Linked DNA regions of Yarrowia lipolytica. The protein of the gene in region 1 interacts with the protein of each later gene in a pairwise test. Links are inferred from orthologs where the notes say so. Each region holds a gene or a part of one and is shown on either strand. Other genes may lie near its edges.

Evidence for each region. The genes of interacting proteins can lie anywhere in the genome.
Region 2: the proteins of YALI1_B05995g (region 1) and YALI1_E20626g interact in a protein complementation assay, tested with the Saccharomyces cerevisiae proteins (2 studies listed by BioGRID). The link is inferred for Yarrowia lipolytica from reciprocal best matches to the Saccharomyces cerevisiae genes SND3 and SUR2.
Region 3: the proteins of YALI1_B05995g (region 1) and YALI1_F14958g interact in a protein complementation assay, tested with the Saccharomyces cerevisiae proteins (2 studies listed by BioGRID). The link is inferred for Yarrowia lipolytica from reciprocal best matches to the Saccharomyces cerevisiae genes SND3 and ERG25.

The regions. Positions count from the first base shown.
Region 1 is NC_090771.1:597,725-601,536, forward strand, and holds YALI1_B05995g (uncharacterized protein), read left to right. Parts: upstream 1-1,835; coding exon 1,836-2,013; intron 2,014-2,234; coding exon 2,235-2,635; downstream 2,636-3,812. Other genes in the region: YALI1_B05971g (uncharacterized protein), read left to right, coding at 1-683; YALI1_B05984g (uncharacterized protein), read left to right, coding at 751-1,281; YALI1_B06015g (uncharacterized protein), read right to left, coding at 3,173-3,787. UniProt on the Saccharomyces cerevisiae protein: Functions in the SND pathway, a SRP (signal recognition particle) and GET (guided entry of tail-anchored proteins) independent pathway for targeting a broad range of substrate proteins to the endoplasmic reticulum.
Region 2 is NC_090774.1:2,060,615-2,064,846, forward strand, and holds YALI1_E20626g (uncharacterized protein), read right to left. Parts: upstream 2,027-4,232; coding exon 965-2,026; downstream 1-964. Other genes in the region: YALI1_E20635g (mitochondrial 54S ribosomal protein mL67), read left to right, coding at 2,947-3,561. UniProt on the Saccharomyces cerevisiae protein: Required for hydroxylation of C-4 in the sphingoid moiety of ceramide. Catalyzes the conversion of sphinganine to phytosphingosine in sphingolipid biosynthesis. Involved in the response to syringomycin.
Region 3 is NC_090775.1:1,493,423-1,497,765, forward strand, and holds YALI1_F14958g (uncharacterized protein), read left to right. Parts: upstream 1-2,449; coding exon 2,450-3,379; downstream 3,380-4,343. Other genes in the region: YALI1_F14946g (uncharacterized protein), read right to left, coding at 669-1,229.

The DNA of each region.
Region 1 (3,812 bases):
TGACGCGTGAACGGATCGACCGATTCGAAAACCGATTTGGCAGAGTCAACTATTATGTGCCCAGAAAAGGGTATCGTGTCGTGGTGCTCAATAATCTGGCTCTAGACGGTCCCGTTTACGAACAGCAGTTCCAAAACGATTGCTGGATGTTTGTGGATATGGTGAGACAGGCTCGAGAACAGGAGCCCGACGTGTCGACCATTCTCATGACCCACGTGCCTCTTTACAAGCCGGCAGGCATTTGTGCCGACGGACCCATGTTTAAGTACTATGATAACGAGTACAAGTGGCTGCGGTCTCAGAACCATCTTTCTGAGGATGCTACCAACCGACTTCTTGACGGTATCTTCGGCAGGGAAGATCCTCGAGGCGTTATCTTGGCTGGCCACGATCACGAGGGTTGTGTTTCCAGTTACAGCTTTGATCCTGGACACGGAAACTGGACAGTTGAGGGTGGAAGAGGCAATGCCGTGTCAGAATATACCGTTCGAAGCATGATGGGCGAGTTTGGCGGCAACACAGGCCTGCTGACAGGCAGCTGGAACGATACAGAGGGCAAGTACGACTTTGACTACTCTCTGTGTCCCTTTGTCGTCCAGCATCTATGGTGGGCCACCAAGGTAGTGACCATTATTGCAACTATTGTTGCCTTACCAGTGGCTGTTTCGATCCACTACAGTTAGGGCTGTAATTCGTCTGATGCAGTCATTTTGGGCATGTTGAACAGCGCATGAGACAGCACGAGACGGCATGAGACGGCATGAGTCGGCACGAGTCCTTCAGTCCCGTTCAGCCCATGAACAGCTAATTATATCCCTGAACAAGGGTTTGCATTGTATACTTAAGTCTTTATTACTGATATTGAGAGTGGGCATTTGTATTGCATCTACGTACTTAACTCACTGCAGACAACTTTTCCGTTTCACGGTATCAGACAGGGAATCTCGACAGGACACTGTGGGAACTGAACTGATTTTATATTTCTACAATGGTGGTACTGTACGGCATCCTAGGATCCTTTCATGTGTTTTTCTAAGTCTTTTTTCAATTTTTTCAATTTTTTCAATTTTTTCAATTTTTTTTCTTCACTTTCTGCAATTTCAGGTGAATTTACTGCCACCATGCACACCCTGCAGTCCCATAAAAAGAAGCGAGCCAGCCATACTGATAAGAGCCAGAAAATCACGAGCAAATATTTTTATTTTTTCATTATTTTTTCGGGAAAAACGGCGCAAAATCCATAAACAAAACAGGAACCCCCATCTGCCCGAATCCAACTAACGCCGAGTACACACAGCCACGTGACGTGACTTCATATTACATACAGGTAGACAGAACTAAACAACCAAACAACCCGAATTTACACTACTGTACATACGTGCAATACGAGTGGTAGACCGAAGGTCTGGGGTGAGGAGACCAAGATGGAAAGTTATTTTATAACATGTCCAAATATCTGCGAAAATTTCACCTCCAAGAAACGATTCTGGCCGCAATTTTTCCGGATTTCCCCGGATTTCCCCGGATTTTCCCGAATTTCCGCGCCCAATTTCTCAATTTTTTATTTTTTTATTTTTTTAATTTCATTTTATATTTAATGTTTATTTTTTATTCCGCCCAAATCTATGCTGCTGGAACCTTCCATATTGTTATGGCTCCGATAACGTGTGCCGTTCGACCCAGTTTGGCGGTGGTGAAATTTCCCACGGCAAACTTTATTACTTGCAACGTATTGTAAAACCCCCATAACCCCAAACCCACGATCTTCCTTGTCGTCATACGCCACCACTAAAAAAAACCCACACAGCCAACGCTCCCCCCAAAAAACCGCAAAAATGGTCAACCCTGCTATTTCCAACCTCGTCATCATGCTTGTCATGATGCAGGTGTCCAAGAAGGTGCCCTTTGAGGACCCCCAGGTGCTGATGGGCATCCGAATTCTCTACGTGGTGGCCCAGTTGCTGGTCCTGGGCCTGTACCTTTACACCCGGTCCATCATTACCAAGAAGAATGGTGAGTATGAGAGTAGAACCGACGGTGGTCGTGTTCCGTGACCCGAAGGACGCTACTACGTGGTTTGGTCAACAGATCAGCGCCACTGTCCATAGAGAGAGTTCACAGACAGGGCACATATGTCACAGCATATGTCACAGCTAATGTCCATGTCATCTTTTTCACTGCTGTGATCTGCGCAAGTTACACCCAGCCTTCACCGTCTTTCAGTACTAACCCAGATCTCACCACCCTCAAATACGTCGAGCCTGCCAACGCTTTCGGCGGCCAGGAGGAGCCCAAGCTCGTGACCACCACCATCAAGGAGTACGATATCAAGCAGGTTAACTCTGCCATCCGAGGTGTCTTCACCGGTATCGCCATGATGGGTTTCATGCACATCTACATGAAGTACACTAACCCTCTTCTGTTGCAGTCCATCATGCCCATCAAGTCCGCCATTGAGCAGAACATTGTCCAGATCCACGTCTTTGGCAAGCCCGCCATTGGCGATCTCAAGCGACCCTTCAAGGCCGCCTCCATGTTTGGTGGAGCCGGTATGGGCGGTGGCGACATCAAGACCGACAAGAAGACCATTTCTGCCGCCGAGACTGCCGGTGCCGGAGGTGTTAAGGAGGAGTAAGCGTTATGAATAGTAATAGATTGTATACTGCACAAGCTTGGTGATTCTGAGCCTGGGCCATAGTCATAGGACTGCCTCAGATCTACACAATTGTAGACTAAATCCTTGAATAAATAATGAAATAAATTATGTCAATTGGGATAAAACAACGATATCTCTCATCCCAGTGGGTCTATGGCAGCAGTACAGATGACGAGAGGGCCGATGGTTGCCTAGCCTTACCCATGGCTTGAGTCAGCGGATATGGCGCTCGTTCAGTGATCAATGTACTTGTAGCAGATCGGGGTAAGTAGCAGTTAGCTCGTGTCGGATGCGTTGAAGAGTTGGAGCTGGGTACTCTATCACAAGAGTGTACATACGGTATTGTACTCCAGTTTCTGTAGTTCACCCAAGATGAGTAGTCAGCAGTAGGCTTAGCAGTCGTATCCGTATGCCAGGAGTCGCATGCTTCCAAGCAAGTTTCCTATTATGTCTTGTAGACACGCGTCAGCTCCAGCTAATGCTGTCAAAACGGATAGCGCAATTGTATGGTCTCTCTCAAAGCCCTCCGACAACCTCCTTCACCTTGCCGAGCTCCTCCAATCTCGTATGGGTTTCTGGAACAGCTCCTCTCAGGCGCTTAATTTCCAGCAATGACTGCCTCAGCGTCTCTCTGTCCTCCTCATTGAGCTCTTCGACAGGAGGCAGTTCCTCCAGCACCGCTTCCAATGTCACTCCTTCCTCAGTAGGTTGGCCAATGTCGGCGCAGTTGACTTCAGCCTGTTTGTATAGTTCAGAAATGACCTTGGGAACATTCTTGCGCATCTCGCTCAACCGCACAGTTGTCTCGTCAACCTCGGCGTACACCCGTCTCAGCTCCTCAGCTAAACCCATGTCAAACGGCTCAATGTGCTCGGTGGACTCACGCAGATGCGCGTCGATGGAGTTCACCCGTCCCATCTCCGCGCCGTCCACGACCAACGCGTGTCGCGACAGTTGCATGGTTTCTGTGACGAACTCCGACACAAGTTGTTTTACGCGCAGGATGAGCGGGTCGGTGGGGTCGTTTCCGGGCAAATGCAGCGACGTTTTCTGGTCCACGGCCGAGGAAAACTCGTCTCGGAGATATCGCGCGTCTTGGGCCGTCAAATGGAGCTTTTCTGGGGGTGGCATGGCGTGTAGTGTATTGGGTGCCGTG
Region 2 (4,232 bases), on another chromosome or scaffold:
GTCTATGTCTATATTTCCGTGTCTTGGAGCTATTGTTGGTGGTCTATACTGTATTCCTATTTTTTAAACTTTTTTAAATTTTATATATATATTTTGTATTTTAATATTTTGATTTTATATTTCTACACCCTATAACTCTATATCTATATTCTATATTTTATATTTTAATATTTTATTAGCCTTGTCTAGCAGTTAACAGTACAGAACTTTTAACCAACTGGTTGAGGTTGTCCAGTAGAATGCCGAGATGAAAGTACTTCCTATTGTACCCACACTATCAGCTCCAACTGTTTATAAACCACATCAACACATGCTGCATCAATATCATATGTCCTCTCCTCCACGATTCCGAGCCCCGTTGCCCGATCTGAACGTTGTCATCATCAACACCTTCTCTACTGTATGCGTATCACTTCGCATTCTCGACACAGCCCCTCAGGTCACAAGACCAGCTTGTAACTTGCTCCCTGAAAATCAACCTTGACTGAAAACAACTTTGAGTGATTACTGTTTGGCTGCTGAACTTTCCCTTTTGGTCCTGCGAGCAAAAAGCTGGGATTTCGCTCCAAAAACGTGTTTCGACCGCTTTTCTAAGCGCCTTTTCAGCCCCTTATTACCCCAATATTTGACTAACCTCAAAAACCCGCACTCTACAATGTAGATTGCTCATGCACTTCCTGCAACGTTTACATTCCAATGCCACCGCAACAACGGTATTTCGGAGATTGCGGAGATAGTCGTATTAGTCGTATAGCTTGAAAGTTTGTCCACCTCACTTGAATCAATAGCTCTCGTGCGTGTACCGTGCCGTACAGTCCTATATACAGTCCTCATACTCGTACTACTCGTTCTGTAATGCACTCGATGCTTGTTTATATACTGTACCGTTATGTTATCTGTTTAGTTTAGTCGTTTAGTGGCTCGGGAGCCGTGATGCTATGCTCGTGAAATAGTGTATCGTAGTCTACTCAAGTCGAGAAGAAACCACCTGCTCGGAAGTAGAAGCTCCAGTCGACTTGCCAGCCACCTCGGTGGCCTTGGCCTTGTTCTCATCCTCGGACGAAGAGCCGCTTCGAGACTCAACCCACTCCTTGTACTTTTGGGCCGTGATCTCCTTCTGCTTCTGCACGTAGCCCCGGGTGCCGTGGTACTCCGTGTTGAGAATGCGGTCCCAGAAGGTGAAGAAGGGCTGCGAAAAGTTGGTCTTGATGCCAAAGCTCTGATGGTGAATGTCGTGGTACACGGCATTGTTGGGGAACAAGATCTGGAACGGGTCCCAGGGAATGCAGTAGCCGCAGTGGTCATCGACAGTCTTGAGCGTGGAGAAGCAGAAGAACCAGATGGCTTCTCGGGTAGTCAGGCCCGAAACCATGTATGCCAGGCCGGCTCCACACGAGTCCATCAGCACGCCCTCCAGAGCAGTGTTGTACAGCGCTCCAATGGCGTAGGGCACATAGAGTCTGTGGTGTCTGGAGTGGAACTTTTTGTATAACCATTTGCTCTGGTGCATGGCCCGATGCAGAAAGTACTGCCACGAGTCGAGAATGAAGAAGGCAAAGGAGATTTTGACAAAGGGCAGCAGATAGGTGTAGGCGAACGCCGCGAGCCACGCCTTTGCGGGGCTCGTCTGTCCTCCAAACCGAACCTGCCACGTCCAAATGTCGTGAGCTTCATGGCCAGTCGTGTTGGGCTCCTCAAAGTAGTTGAGTAGCAGGCCCAGAGCCGTCTGGAGCATGTGTTGCTTGATAACGTCTCGAACAACCTCCGCAAACGTGCACTTGTTGCGCTTGGTCACCTCCTCAGGAGTGTGGATCCGGTACTGTTCGAGCAGCTCGTACTGGTCGATGATGTGGAACATGATGCCCGACGTCCAGTAGCAGATGATGGGCAGCAGCAGCGCGAGATTCTCGTCCGAGATCCATGACACGAGTGGTGGAATGGAGTGTTTGTAGATAGGAGGCGGTATCGACGACACGTTGGGGGCCGTCAGCGTTATTGGGCCGAGATTGAAGGTGCCGTTGTACATGTCGCAAGGGGTGGAGCTGTTTATTTCGCTGGAGCTGGCGGTGTAGCTGGAGTTGTTGGCGAGCAAGTCGGTACAAATGTAGCGTTTTTTTTCGTAGGTCAGGGGAAGATACGCGCCAAAGTTGGAAACTCTTAATTGTAACGTCTTGCCATTTTTGGTGACAAAGACACATAACCTTCTAGACTTATCAGATGGGCAGGTGGAGCGATGGACAGAGGACGGGGTTCAAGTTGGGCTCGGAAACCAGGGTCTAGACCGCCCATTTCCCACCTGGCAACCTTCAAATTTCCGAAAAATCGCCACCTTGGCCCTCTTTACTGCCCCTCCCCCCGTCATCCGTGCCTGCTTCTACACTCTCGTACCACAAGTTTCGCCACAGCGTAGCTAAGACAAGCTCCTACAGAGAAAAACCACCCTAGAAAAACACTAATGGCACCATACTTGTGAAGTCAAAAAACAGCAGTAGAATGATCATGTCAAGAGACCGAGGAGGAAGCCCTCTGACGGGGACGTATAACAGTATGAATGGTGTCGGTGGGTGGAGTAGTAGGGGTAGTCACGTGACATATATCCCTAGGCCCGTGTCGGTTCCTTCCTTGCCCCTGATTTTTTTCCAATTATCTGCTTTTCTTGGATTTATTTCGCTTGCACATTTTCGGTCGATCGATGTCTCGCTAGACGCGTCCCCCCAAATTTCAGAGTTCAACTTTGTTGAGCCGAGACCGAGCTGAGTCAGAAGAGTTGGTTTCGGGCGTTAGTCAGCGAAGGGAAGAGCTAGACCGATCATCCCGTGACCGTCACCTCGTGAACGCCAGTTCGAATCCCGCGAAAACCATTTGCAATTTTTCCCTCCCTCCAGACCTCCCTCAAACCCTAATGGAGATCACAAATTTCACACTGCAACATCATCTCCATCAACAATGGCACAGTACACAAAAGCCATGGGCACCGTACGAAAGTACACGCCCGCCACTCTCAAGCGAGACGGTAAGCCCGCGTTTGTGTACGTCTACCGACACCTCCAGACGGGACAGGTGGCCTACACCCAGGTCCCCGGCGTGACGGAGCACCATCTCAACCGACAGTTCAAGGACCCCAACTGGGAGAACAAGCGGCCCACCATGCGACAGGATCTGTGGCGGCCCATGGCCGTTGCCGATTTCGGCGACCACCAGGCTGCTTGTGATGCCTACGACGGCCTCGTGTACCTGCGATACAAGCGAACCCACGACGGCAAGAAGGACATCAAGGGGTGGAGAAAGACCAACGCCGCCGGAAACGTGTGGCAGGACGGCCAGTACCGGCCCGTTTACACACAGGAGGCGCTGGCAGACCTGTCGACCGTCACCGAGGCCGTCAAGGTGCCCGTGACCATCCACTGGGAGGACCTGTGGAGACGAGGAGCCGCTGAGTCCTGGCCTGAGAATGCTGACCATAGCGTTCTCAAGCGATGGGACGCCATCTACCCCCAGTCTCTGGAAAAGCGACTTGCCAAGGAAGCCAAGGTGCCTGGTGAGACGACTGCTGAGCAGTAATGTACATAGTTAAGGAAGTGAAACAAAGAGTGCGAAGCACTATGGTTGAACGGGTCCTATCCATGGGTATTCGCTCACAAGACGTTATACTGGCAAAGTAGTAAAGTGTGGATATTGTAGATGGTCTGGCTTGAGCTGTGGGAGTCGGAGTACGAAACAAGTCGAACTCCGATATATCAATAGTGGCCGGATGAGCAGGAGTCTGTAGGAAGTCATGCAGAGCTGCTATAGCTCGCCTTCTGATACTAGAGACTGAGTCAGCTTATGCAACTAACAACTCTGGGCTCTACCATTCCACCATTGACAACAAAGTCGCTGAAGACTGGTACACATTTCACCAATGAGCACAACAAGTCTCTACTATCGATTTCTGTAGTTATCCTCAGTGTCAACTCCACAAATCACACTTTGAACCCCCACTCTTTTGACAAAGCGTAGGTTCAGAATGGTTGAGAGCACGGGTTCAGAAAGGTTCAGAAAGGGTCAGAAAGGGTTCAGCACCGGTCGAAAAAGCAGGCTAACAAGGCTGGATACGAGGGCAGTGCTGTTTCTATACGGCTATACGGCTATGCGGCTGTACGCTATACGGGTGATAGACATGTCTTCAATCTGTCCAAGCAGCCTTACGGTGTTATCAACGCGTAAAACACACTTCTTCAACAAGTGATGGT
Region 3 (4,343 bases), on another chromosome or scaffold:
CTTGGAGGCTTGATACTGAAACTATCGAGCGTGTGGAGAGGTCTTTATACTAGCCACACCATGTCATGCTCGTATACATGTTTTAGACTTCTCGCTAACCTTACGCCCCCGCTGACCTTTTCCGGCACTGTGATTGGCCGGTTGGTCCCATAACGCACGTGACCCATCAGTGGCGTGTCTCGCTGACCTTTGCTGGGGATTTGATTGGCTGACGAGGAGGGTGAATCACGTGATGATCTGAGAGGTGCACAGATATGCTGACCTTTGAAGCGCGTCTGATTGGCTGGGTCGTGACCAAGTCACGTGATCCCGAGAGTGGAACATTCCCACAACCTGTTTAATCATGGCGAATACACAGGGCTAAGGTGGCTGGTAAGGTGGCCAAAATAAGACGCAAAAAGTGAGGCTTGTGTGTGGGTTATCAGATTGTCTCTGGAGGGGCGAATACGTTGGGAAAAAAATGGAAAAACGGGAGGAATTGCTGAGTAATATTTATTTGGACCTTGTGACCGACCCGTGTCGCAGCAAACATAATCCTGGTTTTGATGGACGATGCCAGTATCGAGTATGTAGAAGAACAGTTTCAAGTAAGAGACGTGGTGTCCATAGAGCTGCCGATGATACTCACTGTAAAGGTACATACTACAGTAGTCCATAGTCTTGAACATTCAATGCGCTCCAATGTTGTGATGAATATTGCGTCTTACCATGAAGAGTGGTTGCAGAAGTTGTATCATTTGATTGGACATTTCACGCTGATTTGATTCGTATGGCAAAATCTTTTTCCTTACAGAACGTCGACTTTTTGTAGTTGTGCTGTGGTAAAATAATCGGACAATTTTGGCCGAAAGTGGCAGACTTTTGACGAGGTTTGATCGACGATCTATGAAAATTTTAATCAAAATCATAATTAAAAAATAAATAAATAAATAAATCAAATTAAAAATCCAAATAAAAATCAAATAAAAATCAAAAAAAAAAATCAAATAAATAAATAAAAAAAAAAAAAAAAAACCATTGATCTTACTGTCGAATGTACGATACAGCACCACTCGCACTGTCTTATATGTACGTATGCTGTACTCTCGTATCAGCCTATTCCCAGAAGTGATAAAAAAGAACCGTCGCTGTTGATGTTGACGAAAACAGTCCAACATCCTATTCGTACAGTGCATACGACTACGGTACACGAACTTGTATCTCTCCTGTTCCGCTGTTGGTCGCACCATCGCTTACCGTCTAGTTGGTTAAACCTATTGTATGTACTGTACATACTCGTACTTGTAACTAATAACCACCGTTATCCACGCCGTTATCCGTTGTGCCATTGTTTACTTGTATCGTACTTCGGCTAATCGCCTGAGTGGTGTGAGTATAAAAAATGGCAGTCACACTTGTATTGCTGTACTGCGCCACACCTTAGCTGACCATACCTATGACGTTCCACGACGAGCACCGGTCCGGCACCCGACTCGTACTCGTCGTACTTGCAGCCTCATCCATACCCAGCAATGATGCCATGTTCCTATCCAGGGCACGGCCTCTTCATCACACCACCTGTGCTTCCGAGACTATATGTAAGCAAGTTGGGCAGTGTAAGTGGTGCAGGTCATGTGACCTTGTAAACAACAACCCGACTTTACAGTAACGCTTGGACACACTTGTTGGCCTGTTGAGTCAACCCGGGGCCAACCCAAGGCAACAAGGAGACCAAACCATCAATATATCGGACCAATATATCGGACCACGGTCGCCGCCGAATCGCCCCACATGGCGCTGGGCCGTTCCAGCTGAGCTGATGCCCCCCACGTCGCTCCCATCGTATATCCAAACCCTATCAGCATTTTTTCTGAAAAAGGCCGTTAAACGACATATACGACTTGGGAGTTGGATCAGTAGGCTGATGTTGATTTTTCAACCCATTTTACCAAACCAAAAAGCTAATCTAGCCGAGTCGATGGCGGATCGCGGACATGCTACTCTAGACCACGTTCCGGACGGCGGTTTCGACCGGCGAGGTTATGAGTACGTCAGAAGCAGACAGAAGAACAGATTGCGAGCACAAATCCGAGACCCACGGCCCCCTAAAACACGTCCAGGGCCCTAATCAGATGTGCCGTCGCGACGCCCCTGACGTGTTCACATGTTGAGTTTGGATGCAGAAGGTTCAGCATGTTTAGCCCGTTTGGGTTATCAGATGATTGCTTGCGGGGGTCGTTGGGGACCATTTCCACACGAATACACGGAAAAAAACCACACAGTCACACTCACCGTGTCAGTGCCATCATGTTGGTGCCCTTTACCCCCCAAATATCCCAGTTTACACATCTTGCAACCCCCCCGGGATACGACGCAAACGACAGGGTTAGGAGCAAAGGCTAATACTTTTCGTGTTTTATAGGCCCTCCCATCCCACCCTTTGGAGTCCCATATCTCACCTCGACACACCATGTCTTCGATTCTCGAGAGCATCAACTCCACCGTCACCCCCGCGGCCTCCTACATCGGCACCTACGCCAAGCTGTCCGACGCCCACGCCGACACCCTCAACATTGTCGAGCGGGTGTGGGCATCATACTTTGTGTGGTGGGGCAATGATCTCATTGCTTGCGGCATCTTCATTTTCCTGCTGCACGAGATTCTCTACTTTGGCCGGTGCGTGCCCTGGATGATCCTCGACCAGATCCCCTACTTTCACAAGTGGAAGATCCAGGGCGAGGCCAAGGTGCCCTCTGTGGCCGAGCAGTGGGAGTGCATGAAGTCCGTGCTCATCTCGCACTTTATGGTCGAGGCCATCCCCATCTGGGGCTTCTACCCCGTCTGCAAGTACGCCGGAATTTCCATCGACGTGCCCTTCCCCTCCTGGATGAAGATCTGTGCCCATCTCGCCCTATTTTTTGTGCTGGAGGATACCTGGCACTACTGGCTGCACCGAGGCCTTCACTACGGTCCCTTCTACAAGCACATCCACAAGCAGCACCACCGATACGCCGCTCCCTTTGGTTTGACTGCCGAGTACGCTCACCCCGTTGAGGTGGCTTTGCTTGGTGTCGGAACTGTGGGCATCCCCATTGCCTGGGTCATGCTAACCGGTGATCTCCATCTCTTCACCGTGTCTGTGTGGATCGCCCTGCGACTCTTCCAGGCCATCGACGCCCATTCTGGCTATGAGTTCCCCGTGTCTCTGCATCACTTCTTGCCCATCTGGGCCGGTGCCGACCACCACGATGACCACCATCGATACTTCACCGGCAACTACGCCTCGTCGTTCCGATGGTGGGACTTTGTGCTCGACACCGAGGCCGGTCCCGCCGCCAAGGCCGAGCGACAGCAGCGACTTGCCGCCAAGGCTGCTAAGAAGGCCAAGAAGCAGCAGTAAGCGACCCCGGCCACTCACTACGGTCGCGATACCCAATCCCGATCCAAAACTGACCCCAGTATATACATAAGTTATTTAATATGATACATTTCTCCTTACGACGAAGCGCCCAAAGCGCTACGCTCGAAGCTCTACGCTAGAAGCTCTACGCTAGAAGCTCTACGCTCGAAGCTCGACGCTCGATTAGCTCTCAGATCATGTACTTCAGATGCCCTCATCGTGTATAAATAGAAGCAGAAAAACAATTCCCTTTGGGGAAAGAGACAAAGAAAGGAAGGGTGAGGAAGCCCAAAAGAAGTAATGTGAAACTTTGCCGAAGTGACCCAACTTGGTGAACATGTTGTGATGGTGGAATAGGAGACATGTGGTTGATTGAAGGGAGGTTACAAGAGCCGGACTACATGATTTCAACAGTAGCCAGCATTACCTTTACTGTACTAAATATAATAATATATTATTATTATGGATTTATTATTATGATTATTATTGTTTAAGTAGGTCTTACATAATTCGCATATATACGAGAGTGTCTCATGACTAGACCAACAGTACCTACACACTTGTGGTACAATGTATATCAGGAGAGTGATGGCGTTACATCGGTGTTTCTTTTTCCAAAACACATCTACATGCTCGTGTGATCCTCCTGGTCAGTGGCAATACAGCTGTTTATGATGGATCTAGGGCTAGATCAACATGAAGAGAAAGAATCAAGACGAAGGACAGAAGAGATATAGCATACACCGATATCGTCTCACAGAATCCCAGTTACCAGTGGTTACTGTACTCGTCCATACACCGTGGAATACCCTCAAGTATCGTAGGGACCAAAGAGCTGTCAGTGCCTCTGGCAGTCTTTCTACCACCTCTCCCTCCATCTACCAACTGTCGTTTATGTCCATTGTTCCATGCTATGGGTCTGTAAAGACCACTGTACCCGCATCGTGTCTACACTCAACTCGCT